Linked DNA regions of Tamandua tetradactyla. The protein of the gene in region 1 purifies or fractionates together with the protein of each later gene. This does not show direct contact. Links are inferred from orthologs where the notes say so. Each region holds a gene or a part of one and is shown in the gene's direction. Other genes may lie near its edges. The genes, in order: CSNK2A2, CCNL2, HADHA and PES1.

Evidence for each region.
Region 2: the proteins of CSNK2A2 (region 1) and CCNL2 purify together in Homo sapiens (affinity purification with mass spectrometry; 3 studies listed by BioGRID and IntAct, with this or other methods). This does not show direct contact. The link is inferred for Tamandua tetradactyla from reciprocal best matches to the Homo sapiens genes CSNK2A2 and CCNL2.
Region 3: the proteins of CSNK2A2 (region 1) and HADHA purify together in Homo sapiens (affinity purification with mass spectrometry; 3 studies listed by BioGRID and IntAct, with this or other methods). This does not show direct contact. The link is inferred for Tamandua tetradactyla from reciprocal best matches to the Homo sapiens genes CSNK2A2 and HADHA.
Region 4: the proteins of CSNK2A2 (region 1) and PES1 purify together in Homo sapiens (affinity purification with mass spectrometry; 3 studies listed by BioGRID and IntAct, with this or other methods). This does not show direct contact. The link is inferred for Tamandua tetradactyla from reciprocal best matches to the Homo sapiens genes CSNK2A2 and PES1.

The regions. Positions count from the first base shown.
Region 1 is NC_135342.1:51,831,865-51,839,469, reverse strand, and holds the start of CSNK2A2 (casein kinase II subunit alpha'), read left to right. Parts: upstream 1-4,594; 5' UTR 4,595-4,610; coding exon 4,611-4,714; intron 4,715-5,474; coding exon 5,475-5,586; intron 5,587-7,605.
Region 2 is NC_135328.1:223,487,554-223,495,106, forward strand, and holds the start of CCNL2 (cyclin-L2), read left to right. Parts: upstream 1-4,536; coding exon 4,537-4,818; intron 4,819-5,145; coding exon 5,146-5,220; intron 5,221-5,574; coding exon 5,575-5,684; intron 5,685-6,346; coding exon 6,347-6,467; intron 6,468-7,455; coding exon 7,456-7,520; intron 7,521-7,553. UniProt on the Homo sapiens protein: Involved in pre-mRNA splicing. May induce cell death, possibly by acting on the transcription and RNA processing of apoptosis-related factors.
Region 3 is NC_135329.1:9,962,491-9,970,330, reverse strand, and holds the start of HADHA (trifunctional enzyme subunit alpha, mitochondrial), read left to right. Parts: upstream 1-4,910; coding exon 4,911-5,148; intron 5,149-7,840. Other genes in the region: HADHB (trifunctional enzyme subunit beta, mitochondrial), read right to left, coding at 4,681-4,960. UniProt on the Homo sapiens protein: Mitochondrial trifunctional enzyme catalyzes the last three of the four reactions of the mitochondrial beta-oxidation pathway.
Region 4 is NC_135331.1:32,350,355-32,358,201, forward strand, and holds the start of PES1 (pescadillo homolog), read left to right. Parts: upstream 1-4,842; 5' UTR 4,843-4,951; coding exon 4,952-4,975; intron 4,976-7,630; coding exon 7,631-7,710; intron 7,711-7,847. UniProt on the Homo sapiens protein: Component of the PeBoW complex, which is required for maturation of 28S and 5.8S ribosomal RNAs and formation of the 60S ribosome.

The DNA.
Region 1 (7,605 bases):
GAATTGAGGTGGCTGGAGTTCCAGAGCTTAGGGCTGTCTTCAATTCACCTATTTGTTTTATCTGTTTGGGTGGAATTTGGAGGAATCGTTATAAAATTGTTGGGCTTTTTGACAAAAGACGTTCTCTTTCGGGCGGGCCGCGGTGGCTCAGCGGGCAAAGTGCTTGCCTGCTATGCCGGAGGACCTCGGTTCGATTCCCGGCCCCAGCCCATGTAACAAAAACGGAGAAACAGAATACAAGAAAATGTTTAAAGATGTTTCCCTTTCTTCCTTCCTTCCTTCCTTCTCTCTGTCTTTCCTTTAAAAAAAAAAAAAAAAAAGACGTTCTCTTTCATTGCCTCTTGTGCTACCCTCAGTTATACTCAGCCTCACACCTGCATCCACATATTAATTAGGGGAAGTCCTTTCTGGCTTGTTGATCCTCGCTGCCCTGTCACCCACCCCTGCAGAGCCAGCAGCCTGTCCCTCTCCCTACTCAAGTAAGACTCCATTCCTTCAGTGAGAGTTGCCGTTGGTGCCATCTCCAGTTGTCCGACTTAGTTCTTCCCAAGCCAGCGGCATGGTGGACAGGCAGGAAGGAGAGATGGTGGGTCTCTGCCAGGTCTGTGGGGTGCTCAGCCTACTTACAACAAGCCATAAAAACATATTCTGTTTGGCCAGCAAACCAGAGAACTGACTGCTGGTTTCAGGCTGAATTAGGGAAGTGTCAGCCAAATCAGGAGTGTGTTGCACCAGAGAGGTGTGTAGGCAAATCCTCAGGCTTCCTGGCAGGTGTGGGAGCAGGTTACGTGAGATGGGTGTGGGTTAGGTGGTAAAAGATGAGAAGGTTCAGGGAACGTGGGAGGGGTCACAGGTGGGTGAGGGTGGAGGCAAGAAATGGGGTTCCTGCCAGTGTTGGACATAGTAGTTAGACCAGTGATTTGGAACCACTTTATAATCATGGCCTCCTTTGAGAAGCTGATGGATGCTGAAGAAAAAATGTGCGCACACACACCGTCACCCACACACACTGACCCACAAATTTTGCATGCAGCATCAGGGGTCCTTGGTGCTCATCCAAAGGATCCAGATTAAGAACTTCTGGTACAGGCTAATTCACAAAGACTTGTCAGAAAGAAATCCTATGGCTACATGAACAGCTTGAAAATGCTCGTGTCTTCTCACGGAAAAAAGATTCAGGGAAGTGTCCATGTTTGGGAATTAAATGCCAAAGTCCACTTATTTCATACACGCTCTTATTTATTTATTTGCATGGGCAGGCACCGGGAATCGAACCTGGGTCTCTGGCATGGCAGGCTAGAACACTGCCTGCTGAGCCACCTTGGCCTGCCCTCTTATTTATTTTGAAAAATTTCAAATCTACCAAAAAGTTGTAAGCTCGTGTGCTCTCTGTCTATACTTGCCAATTGTTAACAATTCTCCCCCAATTATTCCTTACCCCCATGTGTGCTCTTGCTCTCTGGAACCCACGCTTTTTTGTGGAGAACCATTTGAGAATAAGTTGCAGATATTATACTTTATCCCTGAACACTTGGTATGTGTCTCTGTTTGCCAAGGCAGCTATGACAAATACCACAAATTGGTTGGCTTAAACAACAGGGATGTATTGTCTCACAATTGTGGAGGTTGTAAGTCAAAAACCAAGGTATTGCTAGACCATGCTTTCTCCTTGTGTCAGTGGTATTCCAATGCTGGCTTGAAGGCAAGCCTTGGTGTTCCTTGGTTTGTAGATGCATGTTTGCCCATATCACCTGGCAATCCCTTTCTCTCTCCTCCTCTGGCTTCTCCTGACTTCTGAATTTCCTCTGTTTATAAGAATTCCAGTCATGGGGTGCAAGGGTAGTTCAGTGGTAGAATTCTTGCCTGCCATGAGGGAGACCAGGTTCGATTCCCAGCCTGTGCACTTCCCCCATTTCCCCCCAAAAATAAATTCAACAAATAGTGCTGCAATAATTGGATAGCCACATGGAAAAAGATGAATTGTAACCCCACCATACAGCATACAGAAAAAAAAAAAGAACTTCAGTCATATGGATCAAAGGGTACCCTAACTCAATTTGACCTCATCTCAATTGGATCTTTGCAGAGACTATTCGCAAATGAGTCTACAACCAGTAACTGGGGTTAGAACTTGACACGTCTTTATGGGGGGTCATTACTGAATTTCCAACAGCATGTAATACCCAAGATCAAGGGATTCTCCTGCATAACCAAAATACAATGATCGCATTCACAAAATTTAACATTGATACAATATTATCTAATATACATCCTTTATTCTAATTTCTCCAATAATCCCATTACTGTCCTTTTAACTATATTCTTCTTTCCGTCCCTTCCTTCTTTCCCATTTTATTCTGTATTTAAACCAAAGTCATATACTTAACTTAGTTATGTCTCTCAGTCTTTTTTAATTGAGAAGTTCACTCCAGGGGTTTTGTTTCTTCTCGTGACATTGATATTATTGAAAAATCTAGGCCAATTGTCTAGCAGAATGCTCCCTCAGTTTGGATATGTTTGATTGTGCCCTTTGATTAGATTCAGATTAAGCATTTTGGGGCAGGAGTACTGCGTTGGGGATATCGTGTCCCATCTTGGTGCATCACATCAAGAGTTCAGTTGGTCCCATTTTTGATGCTAAATTAGATCCACAGTTAAGGTCATGACCTCCAGGTTCCCCTTTGTAATTAATAAGTAATCTACGGGGTAACATTGTATACACTGAAAGCCTCGAATTGTGGAAGATGCTGGATGCTGCTTTTACAGTGGAGGAGACAGACAGTTAGGAAGCAAATAATCACAGACCATGCAGACTTCTGGAAGGATGTGGATAGGGTGCTGAGACAGAGAATTGTCAACTCAAGAGAAAATGACCTTTAAACTGAGATTTGAAGAGCAAGAGTCAGCCATGGGAAGGAAGTAGTGAAAGGTGGGGGTAGCTCCTGGCCATGTTTAGAAGGTGGAAAGAACTGAAAGATAAGCCTGTTGTGGTCTCAGGGAAAAGTGATAGGAGAAAGGCTCTGGAACTGGAAATAATAATATTGGGTAATTACCTTTACTGAGTACTCAGTACCTCCCAGACATTGGTTTAAGTGTTTTACATGAATTAACCTTTTCAATTCTCCCTGTAAAGTAAGTGCTATTACTGATTTTTTGCTGTAAACTCTGCAGCACAGAGAGGTTAAGCAACCAAGCCAAGGCCACACAGCTTATAAGCAGTAGAGCAGGAATTCAAACCTGCTTGTATCTGACTCGATATTCTGTCCTCTTAATAATAACAAGGAGTAGGAAGCAGGGTCTCATCTGGAAAACAGAATGTGTAAAGGGATTAAAGTCAGAAAAGTCTGGGATGAATGAGGACGTTCCATTGATACAGGATATAGGATGGGAAAGGAAAACAGAAGAAAGGCCCAGAAGATCAGAGAGAGAAGTGTTTAGAGATAGGAGGCAACAGAATAAAAAACACCCCACCCTCAGTCCACCCCACGCCCTGGACTGAGCCTTCAGGCAGAACCCCCACACAATTCTACTGCTCTCCGTCCTCACACACATAAAAAGGGCATTTGCAGAGTTCAAGCTCCCCACAAATTATCTATTAATGGGGAAAACAGACAACCTGACAGGGACCAACATAACCAAGTGACCAAGGGAACATTCAGAAGTTGTTCAGGGAAGTGCTCTTTCAGGTAAGGGAATCTGGGGGGAAAGTGTAAGAGAAGGGTCTTGAAAGGAGGCTCTGGGTGAGGAGGTCTTAGGGTTGAGACCTCTATGGGTGACCAGACAAGGTCTGGAGGAAAAAAGGGGGGCCTCTGGGAGGAGCAGAGGGATCTTGAGGCGGAGGAGGCTCTAAGTAGTTGAGGAGAGTCATCAGCAGGGCACTCGATGGGGGTAGTTTGGGTCAGCAGGGGAGGTCTTGAGGACGGAGGACTCTGGGTGGCTAGAGGGTGGAGAGCTTTGGGTAGGAACCTCCAAGACAGTTTTTAAAGGGTCGGGACTGGAGAGGAAAGGTTAGAGAGACAGTCTGTGAGTGGGGGAAGCCTCGTGAGGACCGCGTCAGGGCAGACTGAGGAGGGGGAGATTTGGGCAGGGGGCGGGGCGGGGGCGGGGCTGGCGCCGCCCGGCGGGTCCCCCCGCGCTGCAGGGGGCGCTGTGAGTCCGAGCGGCCCCGGGCCGGGCGGTGGCCGCTCCTATTGAGCGCGGCCCCTTTTCCGGGTTTCCTCCTCCTCCTCCTCCTCCTCCTCCTCCTTCTTCGCCGCCGCCGCCACCGCTGTCCCTTTCCCGGCCGGCGGCTGCCGCGGCTGCCGCCCCTGCCGCCGCCCCTGCTGCCGCCGAGTCGGGGCCGCGAGCCGAGCTGAGGCCGCCGCGGAGCGCGAGCGCCGCCCGTCCCTCCGCCTCGCCGGCAGCTCCGGGGCTGGGCCGGGCCGGCCGGAGCCCCCCGCGCCCCCCAACCCGCCCGCCCCCGCGGGCCCGGCCTGGCGCGGCCGCCCGCCGCCGCACTCCTCCTCCTCCTCCTCCGGCGCCCGGCGGCCGGCCGCCCGCTCCGCCCTCCACCCGGCGCCCCCCGCCGCGCCACCCTCTGCGCCCTGCGGCGCCCCCCGGTCCCGCCCGCCATGCCCGGCCCGGCCGCGGGCAGCAGGGCCCGGGTCTACGCCGAGGTGAACAGCCTGAGGAGCCGCGAGTACTGGGACTATGAGTCGCACGTCCCGAGCTGGGGGTAAAGCCGCCGCCCCCCACCCGACCCTCACACCCTCCTCGGGCCCCGCCCGGCCGCCCCCCAGTGTGAACCACACTCGGCTCCGGGCGATCTGTCTCCCCGCCTGCTCCTCTTCTGGGCCGGCGCTTTCTCGTGTCTGGGGTGGGAGACTGAACCCCCCCTCCCCCTCCGCACGTGTCCTTGGCCTCCTCTTCCCACTTGGCGCACCCCTCTCTTTCTTCATCTCCCTTTCTTCCTGGGAAGACGTAAAGGATCTGAGGGCCAGATCTTCATAGAAGTGAGGGGGCAGCCCATCCTCCTCACACTTTTGGCTTTCTGTTGGGGTGGGAAGTAAACAGCTGTCTTCTTGAGCTATTAAAATTCTTTGCCTTTTAGTTTGTCTGAGACTGGGTGGGAGGAAATTTTTTGAAGACGTCCAGATTAGCAAAGCAGGCACTGTCTGCGTTCAGGGTGTGAAGTATGAGGCAGGTGCTTTGAAGCCACCGGTGGAGGAGTACCCTGTGGCGCTCCAGTATGGATGCTTTGCGCTCCCTCTACATCATCTCCCTTAAGTTATGAGGGAACAATTAGGTTAGGAGCTCTGCAGAGTGAAGGGAGCCAAGTTTTTGTTGTAGCCTTCATTTAGGGAATGAGTTGTGATGTGATGTATAGACACTTCCAAGTGTTTGATTAATGGAAGCATCTGCATGGAGTGTATAGTGAGCCTGAACTTGGTTGATCCACTATCTTAGCATTTATGTGTCTGTCTTTCCTTTCACAGTAATCAGGATGATTACCAACTGGTTCGAAAACTTGGTCGGGGAAAGTATAGTGAAGTGTTTGAGGCTATTAACATCACCAACAACGAGAGAGTGGTTGTAAAAATCCTCAAGGTGAGTGTCCTATGAGTGGCATTTAAACTTTTTTTTCCACAGGCCAAATGGGAATCTATGTGAGCTACAGTCCTAACTCTCATTTTATTTACTGCCTTCTGTCTGATGTCCCTCCACTACTCCTTCCTCCTAATTTCCAAGAAAACATGGAGACCTGCCTCAAATCAGAAGCATGTTAGGTCAGGAAAGTAAGTCCTTGTTCCCAAATTTAAATTATGGGCTCTCAAAGCAAAAAAATCCCATACTCTATGTATTACAACATAACTGATATTTCAGAGGAAAGAAATATCTCTTTGTGAAGATTCTAACAATCCAGAGGTTGCTTGACTATTGTTTTTGTTACTCTTGGTGCATTAAGTTATTCCGGAAGGAAAGTTAGAAGATAAATTTATCCTTCAAAGATGAATTTGTAGCCCAAGTGGAGGAAAATGTCTCAGTGGATAACCACTTGTCCCTTCTTTGGTGATAAAGTTTCAGCTGAAGTGGAAATAACAGCTAGTAGTTTTGGAAAGGTTCATTGTTGCTTGTCAACTAGTAAAAGTGAGCAGAAGAGTATGCTTCCAATCTCCAAAGTAATAATTGGAACAAGACACTGTTGATATCGGGGTTTAGTGGCTAAGTTTCATAATATGCCTGTTTTGTTATCACTTGCATGAAGACATGATCTTAATGACCATGAAGAATTGACTGAATTTTCCTTCAGGCAAATGATGTTTTAGAGGTTGTACTAAAGAGTAACTCAATCTGTGATGGGGCCTCATTTTGGCCGGGTCATTTAAAGTGTGTGCATATCATTTAAAGAAACATTCAGAAGACTAAGGAAGTACTTTACATAAATGCAGTGTGGCCATTTTGCAGAGATTTTGTGGAACAAAAATGGGGTTAAAAAGCTGTTTTTGTTTCCATTCAGAAAACTGAGGAAGTACTTTACATATAGGCAATGTGGCCATTTTGCAGAGATTTGTGTGGAACAGAAATGTGGAGTTAAAAAGCTGTTTTTGTTTCTTAAGGGTAGCATTAGGGCAGCTGTGTAGGTAGTCCTTTTTAATGTGTGGGGTACTTATGCTGTCTGGAAATTGCCTTTCATAAAAATGATTGACACAGTCTTTTAGGACCTCCTACCTAGCGTTGAAGGAGCAAAGTTGCTCCTACCTAGAGCAGATAGCTAGTTATTTGTGCTGCCAGACATATTGGGAACAAGAAGTGAGGAATTGATGTTAAAGTTATTGACTCCGCTTTTCCCCAAATTTGAGTTGTATCTTTAAAATCACATGGTCCTTTTTTTTTAACAAACACTAATGTTTAAATGAATGTCTCTTCAGACGACAGATCACCTGGGGAAGCCATACAATTTATTTCTTTATGTACATACGCACAAATGTTTTTTATTTAAGCTGCTTCACATCTTTCTAGGAAAGTAGTTAAGACACAAGTTGAAATTAGTAATAGCCACATTCCACTACTATACATTCTGAAAAATGAACTGCTGACTCTAAAGCAATTCCAGAAAAACGTCTAAACTTTTGTGCAGTGGTAACATTTTAGAATAAGTGCAATCTCTTTGCTTTGCACTTTTGAGAGGAAACAGCAGTCAGGTGTATGTATAAATATCAGTATGTTCATTTAGGAAATTATCACATTACTCTTTAGTCATTCTAAAGGACTTTATAGGGTCAGTTGCTTGATAGTTTTCCTTTGCTCCAAAAATTCTTGGGATGTGTTTAGGGTCCTCAATATGGAAACTCTAGGGTTTTTTTAAACAAATGGTAAACCTAAGCACAAAGAAACTTATCTCATAATTTTGCTAAAATAATGAACCCTTATTATTCAGTAATGAACCTTTATTGCAATGCCTGTTTCCTATTTCTTCCGGTGTCTTACTTTGGTGTATTGTCTTGTGGGGTCTTAATGTTGAACAGTGTTCTGGAATAAGACTTAGAAGTCTCCTTTGATACTTTAGTTAGAGTGTTGTTTCTTATTTCTTTTTGTAGCTTTGTGTGTGTGTGTGTGTGACATGGG
Region 2 (7,553 bases), on another chromosome or scaffold:
TCCTTTATTAACAGATTCTCAGAACCATCTAATATAGGTTGTTAAAATAAAGCCTGTGGTGTTCAGCTGTGCGGGTTGTGTGCGTCTCTGGGGGCCCGCAGGCTTGTTGCCACAGCTTTGGCACAGAAGAGGCCACCAGGTGGGATGGTACCCCCTCTCTTGGAATCCTAGATGCTCTTCTGTGAATTGGGGGCTTATGCCTCTCAACTCTGATCCTGGCTCCCCTCAAGGCTGCCTGGACAGCCCATTCAGTACCTGCTTCCCCATTCCATGCGCGCCCCTGCCTCGTGGCGGGTCTTGGCCCTCTTGTCCCCCAGATGACTCCACTCTGACGTGCGGCCTCACCGTAAACCTATCCAGGTTTCTCACCGCGGACTTCCCTCCTCCCCGTGCCCCAAGTTCGTTCTTTCCCTCTGTAGTCCCCTTGCCTTGACCTCTCTCTCCAGCAGAAACCCTGGGACCCAGCTCCCTAGCTGTACGCCAGCCTCAGTTCTCTGCAGCCTCCAACTGGTCCCTAGCCCAGCCCTCCCCACAGCAGGCAAGCTGGCCCTCTTGGTCCTGGCTTTACCCCAGCCGCACATCGCCAGGCAGGGGCTTCTCAGTGACTGACCCTTGGCCCATCTGATGAGGCCATTTAGCATGCAGCATCCTGTTCCATGCCCCAGGGACTCAGATTCATTAAGTCCAGAGTCAGGCCGGAATCTGTTCTCAAGCCCACGGGGCTGATGGGGACAGCCATGTGCCTTCCTCCTGCCTTGCCGCCTGCCCACCGTGCCCACCTCTGATCAGCACGTGCACCTCAGGAGGGGTCCACACCTCTCTCCCCTGGCCAAGATGGAAGCTGGGTCCTTGCTCACCTTCAGGGCCAGGTGCTCCCTCGGGGCCCAAAGCTGGACTCGGTCCTCATGGGGCTCTGGTTCCACCCATCGCCTGTCTTCTCTGGACTTTGAGACCCTCCTGCCCCACTCCGCTCCTGAGTCTGCTTTCCTTTCTTCCGTAGGCCGGCTGCTCAGTTCCACTCTGCCCCTGTGATCACTGGGTCCACTGATCTGCTACGCCTCTGGTGGCGCTCACCACCACCAACAGCCACTTTTTCAACTTTTCTCACTTCTGAGCATCTGTGGGCCCAGAACCTACGCCCTCTGTGGGACTCTGGCTCTCCCTGCAGGCTGGCGTGCAACATGCTTAGGGTTCCTTCTTGCTGCGCCTGCTCAGTCTCCATGTCGTGTTTCTGTTTTCTGGGCTCAATCCTCCACCTGCTTCAGGAAAGCTCTCCATGCTTGTTCTAGTTTGCTAGCTGCTGGAATGCAACACACCAGAGATGGATTAGCTTTTAATAAAAGGGGATGTATTTTGTTAGTTCTTCAGAGGAAAGGCAACTAACTTTCATCTGAGGTTCTTTCTTGGGTGGGAAGGCTCAGGGTGATCTCTGCTGGCCTTTTCTCCAGGCCTCTGGGTTCCAACAACTTTCCCCAGGGTGATTTCTTTTTGCATCTCAAAGGCCTGGGCTGAGTGCTGAGATGAGGTATGCCGAGCTGCTTGGGCTGTGCTACGTTGAGCTTGCTCATTTAAGTACCAGCCAATTAAGTCAAACAGTCATGAGGTTCACGTACCATTGGTTCATGTCCACAGCAACAGAACTAGGTGCCTTCACCTGGCCAAGTTGACAACCAAATCTAACTGCCACAAGGCTCATGGCATTAGCCACTCTCTGCCTGCTGGTGGCTCCCACATCCTTCCCAATGCAGCCCTCCCCTGAGCTCGAGACATGCTTGTCCCACTGCGTCCTGGATACTTGCCCACGGCTCCAGAGGTTCCTAAGCCGAGCGCCCATCTCCCCCCACCCCACATGCTCCACTTGCCTCTTTGCCAGCAGACACCTAGAGTCAGTGTGGGCTTCCCCCTCAGGCTCAATGCCCCCCTCCAACCCACAGGTCCCGAGCAAGTCCTGTCTCTTGATTGCCCACTTTCCTTCATTCCCACTCAAAATCGTCGTCCTTTTCTCCAGCATCACCTCTGGCTTCAACAACTGCGCCGGCCTCCTTAGCACCCTCTGGTCTTTGTCCTGTTTAACAATGGCCTTTGGACCATGAGCACTTGGGGGCCAGGGGCTGCGGCCCCTCCACTGTTGTCCTGCTGCACTGAACAGCAGGGCCATGCTGTGCACACAGGTCACAGTACTCCTCAGTCATCAGCAGATGGCTACTGAACAGGCAACGGGAGCATCAGAGCTCGTTGTGTGGGGTCCAATGATGCGCGCACTGCATGGTAGTGAAGGGGCTGCCTTTTGCTCTGTATCTCGCCTCAATGAAAGGGGGTGTCATAGACCACTACAGGCTGCTCCCAGCACCCACCCCAACCCCTTCCTCCAGCCACAGGGCCCAGCTCTCCCTTTGGTGCAGTTCCGGGGACTGTGGCCCTGTCCCTAGCTCTAGGGCCTGGCCCTGATTAGCTAAGGCCATTAACTCTTCCCACTTTTCTGGCCAATCACTGCCCAGGGGATGGGCAAGCAACTAGGCAAGGATAATCAGAAACATGTTTGCTGGGATTTCCAGAGAACAGGAACTTTTCCTAGAGGGTGCTGCTGTAGCCAGTTTGCCTGCACACAGGAGGATCCTGGTGCTGCCCACCTAGGGAGAGGAGATGTTGGGGCTACGAAAGACGAGGAGAACTGGCTTCTTAGGTAGCAGCATTGGGAGTTGCTGGATCGAGTCTCTCCAGAAGTCAGGGCCCCATCTGGACACTTCAGAGGAGGGAAGCAATGGAGGCCTCTGGGTTTGGGCCGGTTTGAATTGAGGGCAATATCTAAGGCAAGTTTAAGTGCGACAGTCTACCTTCCCCCCAGGCTTCTCAGCCCACCCCCTACCCAGTTCCAACCACCCCACCCCAGGTTGCCCCCCCTCTCAGGCTCCCCACCCCCACCCCCAGGCCAGGGCTCACAACATTACTGGTGAATGTTTAACCGCAACGTGTGCAGTCACGGTTGATGACGACAGCATTTATTCCTCCTGTACAATGAGACCAACAGCCCTGATGCTGAGTGCCTTAAAAACTGCAAAGGAGGCTGGCAGTACTGAACCCAAGGGTGAGAACTAGGCGGGGCCTTCTAGGCACAAGTCTCTCTTTTCAGGAGTAAATGGGAGGTCTGTAAGGTCAAGAGGGGTTCAAAGGCATAAAGCCCCATCAGTGGTCCCCCACTGTTTTGTTTTTGGGTTTTTATTTTTTAACATTTTTTTACTGTGTAGTATAACATACACAAGCAAAAAAAACAAAGCAATAGTTTTCAAAGCACTCTTCAAAAAGTAGTTACAGGACAGATCCCAGCGTTTATCATGGGCTACCATACGAATCTCTCATATTTTTCCTTCTAGCTGCTCCAAAATATAGGAGTCTAGAAGGCTCAAATATTTTTCTATCATCACAATCGACCTTTTTTCTTTTTTTTGTGAAAAATAACATTAAAAAGCTATAAATTTCAAATCACAGCACCACAATTAGTTATAGAACGTATTTCAGAGTTTGACATGGGTTACAATTCCACAATTTTAGGTTTTATTATTATTTTTTTCAATCACATAGTCGCATTGCAAAAGCTGTATCATCATACAATCATCTTCAAGAAACATGGCTACTGGAACACAGCTCTACATTTTCAGGCAGTTCCCTCCAGCCTCTCCATTGCATCTTGAATAACAAGGTGATATCACTTAATGCTTAAGAATAACCTCCAGGATAACCTCTCGGCTCTGTTTGGAATCTCTCAGCCATTGACACTTAGTCTTATTTCTCTCTTCCCCCTTTCCGTGGAGAAGGCCCCCACTGTTATTCAAGTTCAAACTCTCCACGGGGTGCCCGGGGCCCACGAAGTCAGTCATGCTGACCGCTTCAGCCCCTGGCCTTGCTGCCCCGCGCCGGAACCGTCTGATGCCTGCCTTCTCCCGTGGCCAGGGGCTCGGCAGAGGCGCGGGACGCAGTGCTCCCCCTTACCGAGCTCCTCGTCTCGGGCCTGCGGACTGAACTCCGAAGGCCAAGGGCTTGTGGGCTGCAGACGCTGCGCAACTCCTGCGGCCTGAACCTCGGGGTCCGGAAGGGCTGAAACGTGAGCCCACCGCGGCTGCCACGTGCACGGCACGTACCCCTTAAACCACGACCCCTCAGCCTCCTCCGCCGCAGGCAGCCCGCGCCCCGGGACCGGAGCTACGCGCTTCGGGGGCTCCGTGGGATCGCGCGCCGCAGCCGGGAAGGCTCGGCCACGCGGAGAGACGCGCGGCTTCCGGGTCGGCGACGCAGCATTCGCGGCCGCGCCCCGGCGCCGCGCAGCACCTTGGGTAACCAGCCACCCCCGCGCGCGCCGATTCCGGCGCCGGCGTCCGGCGCGGCGCTGACGGGCAGGCCATGCGGCCAATCAGCGGGAGGCGCGACAGGACCTCCGCCGGCCCAGCCAATGGCGCGCGGGAGGCGGGATGGCCGCCGTCGTAGAGCGTCGCGAGGAGCGGCCCTGCCGGGAAGGAGCCGAGGAGAAGTCGGCGGCACAAAATGGCGGCGGCCGCGGCCGGGGTTCCGGGGCCCGCGGCTCCCGCGGCAGCGGCCGGCGCCCCAGGCACGGGAGGCGCAGCCCCCGGGGCGCAGGGGGTGCTGATCGGGGACAGGCTGTACTCCGGGGTGCTCATTACCCTGGAGAACTGCCTCCTGCCTGACGACAAGCTTCGCTTCACGCCGTCCATGTCGAGCGGCCTCGACACCGACACGGAGACCGACCTCCGCGTGGTGGGCTGCGAGCTCATCCAGGCGGCCGGGATCCTGCTCCGCCTGCCGCAGGTGAGTGCGCGGCCGCGGGCGGAGGTAACCGCCCCGCCGGCCCGGCCTTTTGTTGGCGGCCGCGCGGGCTTCGCGCCGGCCCATCCCGCCGGCCTCTTCCCCGGCCCCGGGCCCACCTCCGCCGGCGTCCCGCCCGGGCCCCGCGCCCACTCACGCCGCGCCTCGGGCCTGCCTGCGGAGGGTGGGGGCCGCCAGCCTTCGTGGGTATCAGAGGCTTTGGGTTAATTCCTGGATCCAGAGCCACGCGAAAGCTGGCGATTTCCTTTATGTTGCGAAGCTCCTGAACGTGCGGCTAGAAGTGGTAGAAACCCCTTTTCACTTCTCCAGGTGGCCATGGCTACCGGGCAGGTGCTGTTCCAGCGGTTCTTCTACACCAAGTCCTTCGTGAAGCATTCCATGGAGGTGAGGGCCTGCGCCCGCCGGGGCCCCTTCCCCAGGGGTGCGGAGGCGGAAGCAGGCCTGCGGTGTGTTCCAGGTGTGGGGAGCCTGTTGTGCTCAGAGCCCCGCTCTCCCGGGCAGCCTTTTCCTCTGTGCGGCTCCCCTTTGCTCTTTTTATCTCTTTAAACCTTTATTCTGGCTCTGTGGCTCAATGTAAAATTTTCCATTTTTGTAGCTTTGAAGTACACAGTTGAGTGGTATTAATTACGTTCACGATGGTGGGCTCCCAGCACTGCTTTCGTCGCGCTTCCCAAGTCTTTGGAAGCCATCAGGGTGGGAACAGTCATCCGGATGTTGCAGTGTGTACATTTATTTCAGCATGTGTCAATGGCCTGTGTTCACCTGGCCTCCAAAATAGAAGAGGCCCCAAGACGGATAAGGGATGTCATCAACGTGTTTCATCGGCTCCGGCATCTGAGAGAGAAGAAGTGAGTGTTTTTGTTACAGCTGTGGTGAATGTCTCCTTATATTTGTGGTTTTTGAAGTGCCTTAGGGCTTCTGTAACAAAACTCCTGGTGTGAGGTTTTAAACTTGTGGGTCATTCGTTAATGTATTCCCAAGCACCAGGACAGGGGGTTATGCCCAGGGCTTCTCAACAGGGATTGCTCAATGAACGAAGGGGCTGCTGTGGGCAAGGACAGAGGCCTGTGGCTGTGGTTTTCCTGGTACTGGTGTTTGGGTTGCCCATATCAGTTCATCACCCTCTCGTCTCTGGTCTCCTACATATCTCTGCTCTGGAGCCTCTATACTATGACGTTTTGGACCAAGTTATTCCACTGCAGGGCTGCCCTTTGGATTTTAGGATGTTTAGCAGCATCTCTAGCTGCTGCCCGCTCCAGTGCAGTTGGACTTTGCTGTGCCCTAGAGCGCCATTTATCTATAAGGGAAAGGGGAGGACCATAGCTCAGTGTAGGGGTCTAGGAAGGCTTTGTGATGCTGTCCCTGAAGGTAGTAAAGTCGGCCTCCTCGTGATGTCTGTGTCGTAGCGTTTCTGTCCTCAGTTCTCAGCCTTTGGAGGTAATCATGGGATTTGAAAGACTTCATTTTATTTGACCCTTATGCAGGTCATGTGCTTTGTTTGTCTTTCTAGGAAACCTGTGCCTCTTCTATTGGATCAAGATTATGTTAATTTAAAAAACCAAATCATAAAAGCAGAAAGACGTGTTCTGAAGGAGCTTGGCTTCTGCGTCCACGTGAAGCATCCTCACAAGGTCAGTATAGGCACAGGCCTGGCCACTGGCTGCTGCTGCTCATTTTATTTTCACTGCTAAGCAAGCCTTTAAAGAGAATTGAAATGCATCCTGGACTTGGTTCTCCAGTTTGTGTCTATAATTTCGCAGTAATCTTTTTGTAAATATTACTTCTTAATTTTAAATATTTTTTAAGGGTACTGGAATTGGCTTCTTTTAGTTTTGAGTTGACAGAGACATAGTGGTAAATTTATAAAACATTTTCTTTTTCCACAGTTTGTCTTCTGAAGTTCCATTAGTAATAATCTTTCATTGTCTTATAGAGGAAATGGAAGAATTCTAAGCCTTTTTATTTTGAAATGAACTAAGCCAGTTTTGCAGCAAGTATTAATTAAGGAGCACGACTACTATACTTTTAGTATATTTCAGTTTATTTACAGTGCCACGAATATCTGCTGTGTCATACTTTTTAAAAAATTGCTTTTAAAAAAGATTGCTGTTTGCATCTTTGATTTCATTCCCTTCTCATTGATGGGTGTCCTCATATCTTCTCTTTTACTTGTTTGATTTTTTGTCATTTCAAATTCTTGGTAAACTCTCCAATTTAAGCAGCTTTAAGCGCTTTCTTCACTTTCTGGAGGACTTTCACATGTGTTTTATGTAAGTTGGTGATTGGGATACAGAGATGTTAGGCAGGCAAATCTCACTGGTGGAAAAGGTGTCGAAGACAAGACTGAGAATCTGCTAGATGCTGGCCATGAAACGAGGCCTTCCCTGCCGGGGTGCAGCTCTGTTCTCGTGTGCATGCTTGCTGCCCAGCTGCCAAAGCAGGTAGCAGGTGCGTCAGCAAAAGCTCACTCTCCAGCCGAGCTCCATCCACTGGGCGTGTGACTGGGAAGCCACTCCTGGAATCTAGCTTGAGGCTCTCGTTTGCTGCATGGATGCCCAGAAAGCTGAATTCTTGGCTCTCCAGATTCTTGGTAATAACTGCCTGACCCATATCTTCCAGATAATCGTTATGTACCTTCAGGTGTTAGAGTGTGAGCGTAACCAACACCTGGTCCAGACGTCATGGTGAGTTGATTTTCTTTTGTTTTATGAGACCAG
Region 3 (7,840 bases), on another chromosome or scaffold:
CCAAGACACTTACTAATCAGAATGTCAGATTTCAAAGAGAAAGAACTTTGAAAGCAGCAAGAGAAAAGCAATCTATCACATATAAGGGAAGCCCAATAAGACTATGCATAGATTTCTCAGTAGAAACAATGGAGGCAAGAAGACAGTGGGATGATATATTTAAGATATTAAAAGAGAAAAACTGCCAAACAAGAATTCTATATCCAGCAAAAATGAGGGGAAATTAAAACATTTTCAGACAAAAATATCACTGAATTTGTGACCAAGACACCAGCTCTGCAAGAAATACTAAAAAGAGCACTAGAGACAGACAGGAAAAGACAGGAGAGAGGTGTGGAAAAGAGTATAGAAATGAAGACTATCAGTAAAGATAAAAACAAGAAAAATTAGATATGACATATAAAATCCAAAAGACAAAATGGTAGAAGAAAGTACCTCCCTTACTGTAATAACACTAAATGTTAATGGATTAAACTCCCCAATCAAAAGAGACTGGCAAAATGGATTAAAAAACAGGACCCATCTATATGCTGTCTACAGGAGATACATTTTAGACACAAGGATAAACATAGGTTGAAAGTAAAAGGTTAGGAAAAGATATTTCATGCAAACAACAATCCAACAAATTAGACTCCAAATATAAAACAATTAAAAGAGACAAAGAGACAAATGTATTAATAAAATGTATTAATAGAGACAAAATGTATTAATAAAGGGAAGAATTCAACAAGAAGACATAACAATCATCAATATTTATGTACCAAGCCAGAGTGCTCCAAAATACATGAGCACTGAAAATAAGATACAACATATAAAAGCCAGAGGATAAAATGGCTGATGTAAGTACGGCCTTTACAGAAATAGCATTGAATATTAATGGGTTAAACTCCCCAGTCAAAACACACAGAGTGGCAGATTGGATAAAATATATATATATATATATATATGCTCTATCCATAAGCTATCTACAAGAGAGTCACCTTAGATCCAAAAACACAAATAGGGTGAAAATGAAAGGTCGGAAAAGGAAATGTGATGCAAACAGTAACCAAAGAAGAGCTGGGGTAGCTATACTCATACTAGCCAAAACAGACTCTAAATGCAAAACTGTTAGACAGAGAAGGAACCTATATATTAATAAATGGGGCAAACCACCAAGAAGAAATAACAATCATAAATATTTATGTACCTAATCATGGTGCCCCAAAATACACTGAACTCAAACAGATATTTGCACACTAATGTTTACAGCAGCATCATTCACAATCACTAAAAGATGGAAACAACTCAAGTATCTATCAACCAGTGAATGGATAAACAAAATGTGGTATGTGCATGTATATATATATATATATATATATATATATATATATATATATAAACACACACACGATGGAACGTCATTCAGTCATAAAATGAAAGTCATGATGCATATGACAGCATGGATGAACCTTGAACACATTATGTTGAGCGAAATAAGGCAGACACAAAGCAATAAATATTATATGATCTCACTGATATGAACTAATTATAATAAGCAAAATCATAGAATTAGAATCTAGAAAATAGGTTACCAGAAGACAGAAGAGAGTAAAGAATGGGGAAACTGATGCTTAATTTGAACCAAATTTCTTCTTTTCTTCTTAGGTTGATTGTAAAGGTTTGGAAACGGATGGTGGTGATGGTTACATATTATTGTGAGTCTAATTAACAGCACTGAATTATGTTTGTGAATGTGGTTGAAAGGGGAAGTTTTGAGTCACGTATGTTACTAGAAGGAAAGTTAGAAGATAAAACATGGGACTGTATAACACAGTGAACCTGTAGTGCATGATGGATTGTGGTTAATAGTACGAATTTAAGAATGTTCTTTCATGAATTATAACAAATGTACAACAATATTACAAGGTGTTAATAAGAGATGATATATGGGGAAAGTATACCTAATGTAAACTATGGACTATAGTTAACAGTAATATTTTAATGTCCTCTGATCTATTGTAACAAAGGTACCATACTAATACAAAGTTTCAACAATAGGGGAGTATAGAAGAACGCTGTATTTTTTAATATGACTTTCTCGTAAACCTACAACTTCTGTAATTAAAAAACAATAATAATTTAAAAACATTATGCTAAGTGGAAAAAATCAGACACAAAGTACTACATATTGCATGATTCCATTTATATAAAATTAAGTATAAATAAATCTATAGAGACAGAATTAGATTAGTGATTACATAGTGCCAGGACAGGACAGAGAGCTTGAAAGGTGACTGCTAAGGGGTTTGAGGTTTTTCTTTTTGGAGTAATAAAAATGTTCTAAAATGGATCGTGGCAATGAACGCACAACTCTGTGATTATACTAAAAGCCACTAATTGTGCACACTGGATGGAGTGTATGGTATGTGAAAATATCTCATTAAAACTGCCTTATAAATCACCACCACACCAAAAAGAAGAAAAATGAAGAAAATCACATGTTTCACATTGGAAAGCAGTGGCCGAATCCAAATTCTAGGCTCAGCAGCCTATAGGTATACAGGAACTCCAGCCAAGGAGACAAAGAAGCCCATAAGATACCATGGTTTCTAGAAGATACGGATGATTCTACATGAATCTAGGATACAAATTCTCTTAAGCAAAGGTCATCTTGAAATAAAACTCATGAAAATAATCAAGGACATTTTGAAAAAGAAAAAAAGACACCTTGCTTTAATAGATATCAAAACTTTCTAAAAATAACAGATCTGATTATATAAACATTTAAAACATCTAAACAGCGAAAAATTTTGACTCGAGGATTTTTGAAGCATGGAAACTCCAGGGTAGGTAGGCTTTGTAGGGTGTGGAAGCATGGAAAAACGCTTAAAGTTGCGGGCACCTGGAGCAAGGAAAGGAAGAAAGGGCTGGGCAAGTTCTGAAACAAGATGGGATGGCTCTTGTTAGAGCCATAATTTCAAAAAGCATTAAGACACAACGTAACGGTTAAGAGCACAGACTCTGAAGCCAGATTGCCTTAACTGAAATACTGACTCCACCCTTTCTCTGCCTTAGGATCCCAACTAATTGCAGTTCTTACCTCATAGGGCTACTGCAAAGATTAATTTAGAACAGTGCCTGATACATAGTAAGAGTTATATGTGGGTCTGTTGTTACTTTTAGGAGGTAGTGACAGTGCTATAAATGTACTTAGTTTCTGCTCTGTACAAGCCATCTTTCTTAAGTATTAAGGATCAAAGAAACAGGACATTTTTGCCCCAATGGAGCTTACGATTTTGCTGAGAGTGCAAGGCATAAAAAAATCAAGAGGCAAAAGGGTGATCTAAATCAAGGGTTGCCAAACTACAGTCCATGGGCTTCCACCTTAGAACAGTTTTATATATTTTTAAAGGGCTGTAAAACAAAACAAAAAAGAACATGACAGAGCCCTATGCAGGCCTCCAAAGCCTAAACTATTTTAAAAAGATTTTTTTACAGTTCAAGTCCTGTCTCCTGCCCACACAATGCTCTCTTCAGTACCTCATTCCATGAAGCACTTATTATTTAGATGAGGGGTGGCAAAAAAATCTTTTAAGTTGGAGGGCCTTTGGAGGTCATTAAAATCCTTTTTACAATTTCCTACAAGGTGATCACTGGTCATATCCAGTTTCTACTTAAAAAGTACACAATGATGGGGGACTCACTATTTGACTTGAGTTTTAACAGAAATCTCTCTTCTTTTTTTTTATACTTGTTTCAGCCTCAATTTCCCTGCCATTTTTCCCGCCCGCTGGCCCCTCTTGCTGTCTCTCTTGCCAGACATCAATCTGGTAAGCAGTGAGTCTCAGATTTATATCTGAAATCAAAAAAATTTATCTACTCTTCTCGGAACCTCCCAAACTTTAGCTAGAAAAATGCAAATAAGCCTAGGTTCATAAGAATTAAATGGAATGGGAGGAAAGTGACTGAAGCACAACAGGCCCTCAAAATTATTTCCTTTTGGCTTGAATCGTCTCATCTCTAACAGGACTCTGGAGCACCGGAGCAAGCAGCGTCTCGGCTGGAAACTAGGAGACCTAGGTTCTAGTCTTATTTCTACCACCTGTGACCTTGGATAAAATTACTCAGTCTGATTTGGGGGCTTCAGTTTCCTTACCGATCGAGTGAAGGGGGTGAATGACCGATGATACCAGGTCTCTCACAGATTTGAAAATTCCCCTGCATTATCCATCTCCGAGGAGGAGGGCGAAATGTCTCAGCTCCTCCCACACTCGAGTCCCGAAAGGACACAGGGCCGAGCTCCACCCTTTGAAGCAGAAAACGGGGTAGACCCGTGGTCCCCTTCAGGAGCTCTAAGGCCGCTGACCTGGCTACAGGTGAATAGTAAACACTCCAAAGTAGGTTTGTATGCCGACAAACTGTTGGCTAACTTGCGGTGATAAACTAAAAGACACAGGTGACACTACTGCCCACAGTACAATTAGAAGGCTAGCCCAAGTTACTGCCCCAGTACTAGTCGCTCCGGCTACAGCACGCCCAGTCGGGGCGCTTCCTTCCGCTCGCCGGAATACTAGCCTCACAGGGAGAGAAGCCTTCTGGCCGGCGGCCACAGGTCTCGGGTCTGGCGAAAGGAAAGGAAGTGCGGCTGTCGCCCGGGAAGAAACTCAGGCGGAAACCCGAACGCAAACATAGTCCCACCTTTGCTCTCGCCCGCTCCGACTCCACTGCGGCCCCGACTCCGGGTAAAATTCGGACCCAAGCGTCTAGAGTCTGTGGGGCCAAGGGGCGGGGCCTGTTTGAAAGGACCCCTCCGCGCCCCGCCCACGGGCTTCGCGGGCTGCCCGCCGGATGCCTGACTGGAACGGCGGCTCCTCGCCCCTTCCTCGACCGGCCTCTTTCCCTGACGAGGAGAACGCCCTTTTCGCCTCATGTACCGGGAGCGAAGGGCAGGGTCGCGGGGCGGACGGCACCTCGGCATCTGGGTTTTAGTCAGGCAGTACGGCGGACGCCTGGCAGGGACCACGCTGCTTGGGGGAAAAGTCCTCTGCTCAGCCGCCCCCGCTGGAAGCGCTTTCTACTTTCGTCCTTTTCCGTGCAAGATGGTGGCGTCCCGGGCAATTGGCAGCCTCAGCCGCTTCACTTCCTCTAGGACTCTTCGCTCCCCAGGTGAGGCCTGGCGGAGGGCGCTCTGCAGCCCGGGCAGAACTCCTGCCCGGCCTGGGGCGGCCCCGGAACCGCGTCTCGGGCTAGCCGGCGTCTCCCCGCCCCCGCCTGGGCCTTCCAGTGCTTGGGGTGGACGCCGGGCCCCTGCGTCCCTGTGAAGGGATTGCGGCTTCCTCTCCCACGACACCCAGCGCCGTGGGGCTTCCAGGCTCCGTAACCCCTAACTTTCTGAGTCCTTCCCACCCGGTGCCGGAATTTTCCGCAGATCTCCCGCGTCGCACTTCGGGGTTCACGCCCTTCCTACTGGATCCGGGTCCAGAAGAACGGGCATCCCCGGTCTCTCACATCTTGGCGTCTTCACAGCACCTTCCCGTAACCGGCGTGACAGGTTACTGCCGCTCCCTTCTCCTTTGTTGTCAAACCACTTTAGTACTTATTACCGCTTTTCGATGGAGCTCAGCTCTTGCCCAGTTCTGTCAATCCTAGTGTAAACGTATGTATGGTATGTTGAATTTCAACAGGAGGTTCAGCAACTTGCTGGAAAAGAAGCAACTTTTTAATTTAATGCTCAGATGTCCTGTAACTTAGAAAATAAAGCGTTAGATAATTTTATGTACCTTTTCTGATCTTGTTTCTGACACTTCCCTGTCAGCCTGCATTTGCTGTTATCTTTTCTCTTCAAATTGGCAGTGGAAGGGTTAAGGTGGGTGATGGGAGAAACTAAGCATTTCTCTCCCTTCTCAAACCTGTCACGTGAGATGTGAGATGCTGTGCCTAATACCAATTATTTAAATTGTTAAATTATCATATATATTCCCACTTCCTTCTTAGCTTGTCTTTAAGGCTGGTAGCTGAATTTCCCCTTACTTAAGAGGGATTCATTTTGGCTGATTCAATCTTTTTCTGCTTTCTCATTTCTCCCGTTGTTTTTAGTCTCCACAGGAGCATTCTCACTGATGTGTGTGTACCAATCATAGTATAACTACATTATTACAGAAATTGAAGTGTAAAGCTCAGAAACAGGGTTAAAAATAAATTACCTGTTCACTTGCTACTCACATGTTAGCATTTTGTCATCCTTCCTTACAGATTTTTTTTCTGTTTCCCACTTTTATGTTTTAACACTTTATAAAAATCAGATTGTATGTATGAGCTTACACCTGCATTGGTTTTGAGGTACTTCTTATGGGTTGACAGCTGTTGTAACACTGAACTGGTAGTCAGGTAACCTGGTTTCTAGCATCACGACCCTTTCATTAATTAGTTGTGTGATTTGGGACAGATTTCATAATCTAAGCAGGCTCTATTTTCCTCATCTGTAAAATGAATGGATGAGACTGTGGGTTTTCTTTTACTTGAGAAGTAGTTTGACAGAGAAAAGCATGAAATTTGGCCTCTGTCTTCTGAATTTAAAGCTGGCATTTACTCTCTCACGACCTTGGGCAATTTCTTTATCTCTTTTCTCATCTGTAAAAAATGTGGTTAAAAAATACCTCCTTACAAGGTTGTTTAGAAATCTAAAGGAGTTTTTTAAATGTTAATCAGTTTTTCATGGAGTAGGTGCTCAGTAAATGTTAACTATTGTTAACTCTTTACAGCCCTGAAGAACTATGATTTTTGTATATCTGGGATTTTTTTAAAGTAACTTCTACAATTTAAAAATGTGTAATAAACAGTTGCAACTTTAGTTGTGCCATATTTTCGGTATGGAGGTAAGGTATGCACATATATAAACATTTTTTTTGTATCATGTTTTCACCAGTTAGAAAGTGGCTTATTATAGTTACTGTCGTTTTGATAGCAATTTATAAATTTTGGAAAATTGCTTAGTAGGTGAATTTAAAGTTACCTGCACACCTGAATTGCCATTTAGACTCAGTAGATTGATTTCTTCCCCTTAAAGTCTGTGCCAAGATATTGCCAGACATTTAATGAGATATGGCATTTACTAGTAGATGATTAAATTTTATGAACTAGACTTGTAGTTCTTGAAGTTTTAACTCATTCCTCCTCTACCAGTACTGTAATTCTCAATTTGATTGTCAGATGAGTCACATCTAGAAAAAAATACCTTGTCTAATTCCCCCTCTCCGCAACCTAAATCCCCAATTATGTGAGCTATGAAATAATTTAATAGGAAATGTCATGTAATTGGATGCAAATACCTTACTTAGTCCTCAGCACATGCTGTATATTTAAACTTGACTCACTTCCCTAATCCCACCCTTTTCCCAGGGTTGGATTTTGAAAAAATCTGTAGGTTACTACAACCAAAGTAACATTTTCAAATTTGAAATTTGTGCCAGTATAATCCATCTGTCTCCACTGATTCTAGTCTTATAATGTGTTGTAGTTATTTCCTTGAGCTAAATGACAAAGATGATTAGAAAGTAGATCAAAGGTTACTCTCACTGGCTGGCAACAGTAGATGTAGGCTGAAGTTCACGAATTGCTGTAAGGTGAGCTCTGCTGATTTGGGATCCAAAAGCAAAGCTACTTTGAACTCTGAGTTGATTTCATTTACTCTGGTTTGAAATTCTTTTCCAAATAAGTTTGTATATCTACTGGTTTCTGTATTTTTGTCTCTATTGATTTAGAGGAACATTTGTATATTAGCTAAGATTCTCTAGAGAAACAGAATCAGCAGGAGAAATCTGTAAATGTGAAATTTATAAGTGTCTCACAAAACCATGGG
Region 4 (7,847 bases), on another chromosome or scaffold:
CCAGGTTATTGTTGCATCTAGGACATCTCAGTTCACGCTGTGTTCTAGTTTGTCAGCTGCTGGAATGCAATATACCAGAAATGGAATGGCTTTTAAAAAGGGAGAATCTAATAAGTTGCTAGTTTACAGTTCTAAGGCTGTGAAACTGTCCAAATTAAAAACAAGTCTATAGAAATGCCCAATCTAAGGCATCCAGGGAAAGACACCCTGGTTCAAGAAGGCTGATGATGTTCAGTGTTTCTCTCTCAGCTGGAAGGGCACACGGCAAACATGGCAGCATCTGCTAGCTTTCTCTTTAGGCCTCCTGCTTCATGAAGCTCCCCAGGAGGCGTTTTCTTTCTTCATCTCCAAAGGTCACTTAGCCAGTGGACCCTGGTTCTCTCATACTTCTGTTGTGATTCTGCAGCTCTCTTCTCATTCTCCAAAAGGAACTCTCTCACCAAAATGTCTCTTCTTTTATAGGATTCCAGTAAACTAATCAAAATCCAGGTAGAATGGGGTATCCATCTAATCAAGTTTAATAACTACAATTGACTGATTAGATTACAACATCTCCATCTAATCAAATTTAATACCCACAACTGATTGATCGCATCTCCATGGAGGTAACCTAACCAAGTTTCCAACCTATAGTACTGAATAGGGATTAGAAGAAACTGTTGCTCCCACAAGATTGATTGGGATTAAAACATGGCTTTTCTAGGGTACATAAATCCTTTCAAACCAGCACATACGGCAAGGATATATAGATATATATATATATGGAATAGTACGCACACATATACAATAGAAGACAAAAGTGGAGCTTTCCAGATGAATGTGTGTATACAATTTCATGTGTGTAGTTCTACATGTATTTCTTTATGAAATCATCTGAATCTATATCAATTTGAACATGAGTTAATACTGATGTCTCCAAGCCTAACCCATTTCCATATCTAGCATTCTAGATGCCTCCATTGCTTATCTGTAAATTTCCACTCCAACAGTGAGAAACCTGCCTCCACCTTCTACCAGTCATTTACTTATTGGTCAGTTCCAGTATACCTGCATAGCTTTATCAGAATTGTTAGCCCTTACCCTGGTGGAAAACAACTTTTAAACTTGAGTGCAGAGCTATGCATGATTTCTTTTGCCTTTAGTCCTACAGACTCATTTCCAAATTTACTTATGTCAGTACATCCCCTCTCCCTTTTGATGGTTGTTACATACATTTGTAATAGATTGTTTTGTCACATTTTGCATTTCATTCTGGGATTCCCACCAACTTCCTAAATTTTTAAAATACTTGCATACATTGTTTCACTTTTTGTGGTGTAAAGTTCTCGTTTTGGGGGGGGGGGGCTGTGCATGGTCCAGGAATCGAACCCGGGTCTCCCGCACAAAACATGGGCATTCTAACCACTGAACTACCCATGCACCCTTAGTTCTAGGAGTTTTGATAAATACACATTATGTATCCAAAATTAGTCTAATACACAATAGTTTCACCACCCTAAAAAAAAATCCCGTGCTTTACCTTTTAATCCTCCTCCACAGTCGAACCCCTGATATTTTCTTTGTATTTATTGTCTTGCCTTTCCCGCATGTCATATAATTGAAATCATACATAACGGAGCTTTGTCAGATTGGCTCATTAAGCAATATGCATCTAAGATTCATCTATGGCACTTTATGGCTTGATAGCTCGTTTCTTTTTCTGCTGAATAATATTCTATTGTATGGACGTATACATTAATCTCCTGAAAGACATCTTGGTGGCTTATAGTTTTGGGTAATTATGCCATAAACATTTATATGCAGGTTTTTGTATGAATATTAATATTCACATCAGTTGGGTAAATACCTAGAATTTGACTGTTGAATCATAAGATCAGATCATGTTTAGCTTTGTCAGAAACTGCCAAACTGTCTTGCAAACTGACTGTACCACTATTATCTTTTTTTTAAATAAAACAACTTAGAAATATTTAATATTTAAAGCAACAACTACTCTATGACGTTATCTCCATTTGATAAATAAAGACAGAGAGGTAAAGTAGCTTGTCCAGGCTTGAAGATAAAGCCAGGTGTGTCTGTTTGCAGAGATTGGGCTCTTAACCAAATCAGTGAAGAAATCCTGGTACACAAAAAGCACTCTGTTGGGAAATCAAGACAGAGAGGAGAGACCTATGTGCTGTCTTTCTAGGACTCTCCACAACTCATTAGGCAATAGCGTTTGAGTTCAATAGCAGGCTCTGCAACCAGCCCGATGAAAATCTGTTCTCCAACTCCTGATATTCTCGTAAGCAGTGTGGACGACCAAATTAATAGGCCGAGCCTTCAATCTTGGGGTTTGTTCATATGAAACTTATCCCTCTTTTGTTGCTCAGATGTGGCCTATATCTCTCAGCCAACACGACAAGCAAACTCACTGCCCTAGCCCTCTCTATGTGGGATATGACTTCCAGGGGTGTAAATCTTCCTGGCAAGGTGGGACAGAAATCCTAGAATTAGGCGGGACTCAGCATCAAAGGATTAAGAAAGCCTTCTTGACCAAAAGGGGGAATAGAGAAATGAGACAAAATAAAGTGTCAGTGGCTGAGAGATTTCAGAGTCGAGAAGCTACCCTGAAGGTAATTCTTAATGCATTATATAGATATCCCGTTTAGGTTAAGGTGTATTCGGCTAGAGGGAAGTGCCTGAAACAACAGAGCTGTGTTCCAGTAACCAAGTTTCTTGAAGATGATTGTGTAATGATATAGCTTTCACAATGTGACTGGGTGATTGTGAAAACCTTGTGTCTGATGCTCCTTTTATTTACAGTATGAATAGATGAGTAAAGCATGAATTAAAAACAGATAAATAAAAGGGCGAACAAATGTTAACATTAAAAAATATGTATACTGGAAAGATAGAAATAACAGTGGTCAATGAGAGGGAGGGATAAGGGGTATGATATGTATGAGTTTTTCCTTTTTCTTTTTCTGGAGTGATGCACATGATCTAAATGATCATGGTGATGAATATACAACTATGCGATGTTACTGTGAACCACTGATTGTACACCACGTATGGAACGTTTGTATGGTATGAATGTATGTGCGTGTATGTTGTTTTATCAATAAAATTTTTTTTTTTGATATTTTAAGTAGCTGAGCGACCTTGGGCAAGTTTCTTCATTTCCTGAGCCTCAGTTTCCTCACCTGGTTAAAATGAAGCTATCAGAAGTACTACATGACCTCTACTTTGAGCTCCAGATCTGGATATACAACTGCTTTCCTGGAAAGCTCTACTTTTGTCTTCCACTGACCACTCAAAATCAATGTGAGCAACACAGGGTTCATCTTTCTTCTGGAAACGTGGTCCTTCTGTGCAGGACAAGCTACATGATTCGCGAGAGTCAGTGCAAGATGCAAATGGAAGGCCCCTTGTTAAAAAAAAAATGTTCAGAATTTCAGCAACAGCAGAGCTTTAAACCAAGTGACGGCCCTTTTAAGTGAGGGGCCCTGTAGAATTGCACAGGTAGCACATCCACGAAACCGGTTCTGCTCTTGAGTTCCTTTCATGAGTTTCCCACTTCTATCCTCTTCTGATCATCTTTCCTTGCCCCATCTTGCCCTCCATGCTCCACTCAGAATGGATCTCTCAGGGTTCTCTGAATTCTCCAAAGTTTTGTCTCTGACCCAGGTGCTCCCTTTCCACGTCCTCTTTGCCAGCCTCAGATCTTGATTGAAACACTCTCTTCTGCCTTACAGTGACCACCACAGGTCTATAGTTTTTCTTAAACTCTCGGGCAAAGAAAGTTTTCTTTGCTAGCTTGCCTCCCCTATCCCTTCAATACATTTCATTTCATCCTTTGTTTCATTTTGCGTTGTTTGTGGATTTGCTGAACTTTAATTTTATTTGTGCTTTAAAGTAGATAATAAAATTCACATCGTTCATAATAATCAAGCATCAGCAATTAACGTCTGCCTCCTTCTCTTGATAAGCCTGTGGCCAAGATCGTGATGAAAGCCACAGTCACAAAGTCCTCAAATTTAGATTTTTGAGGCCAGTTCCAAACGGGATTTGGAAGGCTGAAGGAGGAAAACACCAAACATCTTTAAAATTGTATCTGCTTCCCATACCACATCACTATAAGGTACAGTGAATATTTGTATGAATCTTGCATTTTTCCTTTAAGGGGCACAGTACGAAATTTATAGCTGTGCATATTAAAGCTCGAAAAGTGCTAACTGTACATTTAAAATATACCACGAGTTCTGTAACTCTGCTCGGCCTTTAGCTACTCTTCGACCGCTGCTAGATCGCAGAAAATGCTAGCGAACCCTCGGCCCTCTATCTCTATCAAAGAAAATGTTTGCTTCTGCTCTATTTTATCCCTAAGAGCGGATGAACAAAAAGAAGTGCGGCTGAACAAAAAGAAGTGCCGATGAACAAAAAGAGGTGCCGAAGGCCACGGACGTTTGGAGCGCAGCCTCACCTCGCGAAGCTAGAAAGCATCTTCTCGGTAGAGCCTGCGACGTTCCGACATCACCTAAACACAACCGTTACCGGGACAACGCAGCCCAGCCTCAAGAGCCGCAGACCTCACCTCTGTATCCCAGAAGGCACTGCGCTGCCTCTAAGCCTTCCGCCCCACTGCATCCCAACATGCCACGGGGCCCAAACGTCAAGCGATCTTCGTCAGGGTGATTATAGCAATGCCTGAAGATTTGCATCAGTTTAAACTTATAAATTGTCTGTAATAACCCTGTACCTGGAAAAGAAGTCGGAATAGGGGTTATAGTTATTTTTCAAAGGGGTTAACTTTAAATAGCCACGAGAAAAGGCCCATTGTTTTCTGGATTCGCGCAGGCTCCTCCTTGGACAGCCCAGGTGGGGCTCCTAAGGACTCTAGACTAGACACGTGTGGAGGAAGTGGCGCTGTCTCGGTTTGTTCCGCCGGTAGGCCTTTCAGCGTGAAGCGATGGGAGGCCTGGAGAAGAAAAAAGTGAGTGGAAGAGATGCTGTGGGTCCCCGGGAGAATGGTATATAGGGGCGGCGGAACTAAGGGACGCGACTAGGGGCAGCTGTGAACCGCATGCGAGGAAGGGCGAGGACGGCAGTGCGCGTCCGGTGAAATCCAGGAAAAAACGCTGGAGTGTACAATCAGTAATTCTTAATAACATCACATAGTTGCATATTCATCAATTCTTAGTACATTTGCATCGATTTAGAAAAAGAAATAAAAAGACAACAGAATAAGAATTAAAACAATAATAGAAAGAAAAAAAAATCGCTGGAGTGGGGTTGTGAAAGAGTTGAGGTTATCAAGCAAAGCTTCACCAGAAGCAAGCAGGACCGAGGGGAACACCCTGTTTGCTGGAAAAATGATAAATGTTACACGATTATCTTCTCTTACTTGGTATCCTTTTTCCATTGAGCCAGACACTCTGTCCTAGGTACTGGTCATAGAGAAATAAACAGATGTGGCCCTTGCCTACCCGGAGTTCACTTTACAAAAGTAAATAGCAAAAACTATCACCAAGGAATACAAAAGAACACTCATATTAGTTAGTGTTGTCTTGGAAGGTGTCACTGAGGCTGCACCATTAAAACTGAAATCTGAAAGATTAGAAGATCGAGTCTTGGATGGGTTTTGGAGCATGGGAGTGCTTAGTGAGTAAGCCTGGTAAAGGAAACTGAAATGCCAAGACCCTCGGGTGGGAAAAGTTTGCTGTGTGAAAGGAATTGAAAGAACGTTAGGATGGCTGGAATATAATAAACCTCTGGTGAAGTTGGGATTGGGCAGTGATCAAATCATGCAATGCCTTGTAAACCACAGTGAGGAGCTTGGATTTTATCCTAAGAACAATAGGAGACAACTGAAGGAAACACATTTTCAGTTTTTTAAGGAATTGTTCCTGCTACTCTATGGAGACCCCACGTCAGTGGTATAAAGAGCCTAGGGTGGGCAGTGCCGGTGTGTGTGAAGATGCAGTTGGCTAACATGTTTCCTTCAGGTGCAATGTTTTCAGTGCCATTTTGTTTTTAATCTAACACATCTATTGAATACCCACTAAGGGTTACCCATTGGAGCTACAGAGATATAAGATGAACAACCCTGCCTTTGAAAATGGGTTTCTCAACCATTTTGATAGCTTGGGCCAGATTAATCTTTTTTTTTTTTTGGCGGGGGGAGACAGAGGGAGGAGAGTTGTCCTGTGCATTGTGGGGTGTTTAGCAGCATCCCGGACCTCTACCCATTAGATGCCAGTAGCACCCAACAAAAATATCTCCACACGTTGCTGTATTCCCGCACCACACACACACACAGCCCCCAGCAAGAACGATCCATTTATCCCTTTAATGTTTACAAGTATAAGTGTGTGGTCACAGGAGTATATGTGGCATAGAGTAATGGGAGATACTTTTAATGAAGACTCAACTTCGTGAGATAGTCTGAAACCCATCTTTGTATTCCCCAGGACCTAGCACAGGCCCCGATCCTCAATAAACAAAACTAATAAATGTCTGAAGGAAAGCATGAGTGGGGGATATGTTTCATAACTGGTGTTTTACATAAACGTACTTCTCTGGGGCTGCAGGACTCCTCCTTAAAACTGGGCCTGGCCTTAGAGGCCGCTCCTGTCTTATTCGGGCAGAAGATCATGTTTGGAAAGGACATTCTTGGTCAGCATTGGAGGGTGCTTGGTACAAAGCCCTGTTTATCAGGGGCACAGATGTGAATGTGAGGCAGCATTGTGGTGCTACAGACATCCACATGGTTGCCCAAAACAGTACACTCCTTGGAACAGGTAGAGTCTTGGACTTTTGTCTTTATTATCCTCATAGCACCTGCTTTAATACTTTGAATATAGTAAAAATCCCCTTATTGTCTGTTGAATGATTGACTGGGGAGAAGGTGAGTCCAGATTTCTTAAAGCATCTATTTTTTTCCCCAAGGGAGTAAAAATTGGTCTTGGGTAGGCAGGTAGAGCAGAAAAAAAAAAAATCTTAAATATTACAATGGGTTGTAGTCCTCCAAAGGACCACGTTACCTAACACATATAAAGTATATCTGTGATATTAAAATTTCATGGGTCTGCGAGGGATGATTAGGAAGAAAAGTGTCTGAAAAGGCTGTGTGTCTGTGTGCGTGTGTGGCAGAGGGGAATGGTGACAATAGTAAAAAGTTTGAGAAACACTGGCTTTGCAGTTAGGTACCCAGCTCTGGAGTCAGACCTGGGTTTGAATCCCAGCTCCAGCACTTAAAGTGTTGGGTGACCTGGGTGGGGTTTTTAACCTTGTTGAGCCTGTTACTCTCGTCTGGTGTGGGGGGTTATAACGGTACCTACCTCACAGGGTTATGGGGATTAAATGAAATAATACCAGTAACAACCAGTACTTAGAGCTAGTACTGTGTGCTTGGCACAGTGCACTACATAGCAACCTCATGATCCCTGGCATCCTACTTTGCAGACCTGTGTATCCTCTCCAGGGACATCTGTAAGAACAGTGCTGGGAAGCCCCTTCCGGCAGGAGCCTCCTTCCCTATGGCATTTCCTGTCCACAAAGCACCTTGGCCACTTACCTCTGAAACAAAGCACACCAGAGTTTGGTGGCTGTCACTGCAGTCATTGACTTGTTTTTATCTTTCCCAAAGTATGAACGGGGCTCTGCCACCAACTACATCACCCGAAACAAAGCCCGGAAGAAGCTGCAACTGAGCCTGGCTGACTTCAGGTGAGATTGGAGAGAAGTGAGAGAGCATGCCTCGGGGAGCCTAGACCATGAATTGCACAGTAACTCAGTCCTCATTGTACTACACCACAGCTTTGTTTTCCCTGAGCTGCCCAAACCCTCTTTGGAATTTGGGTGTT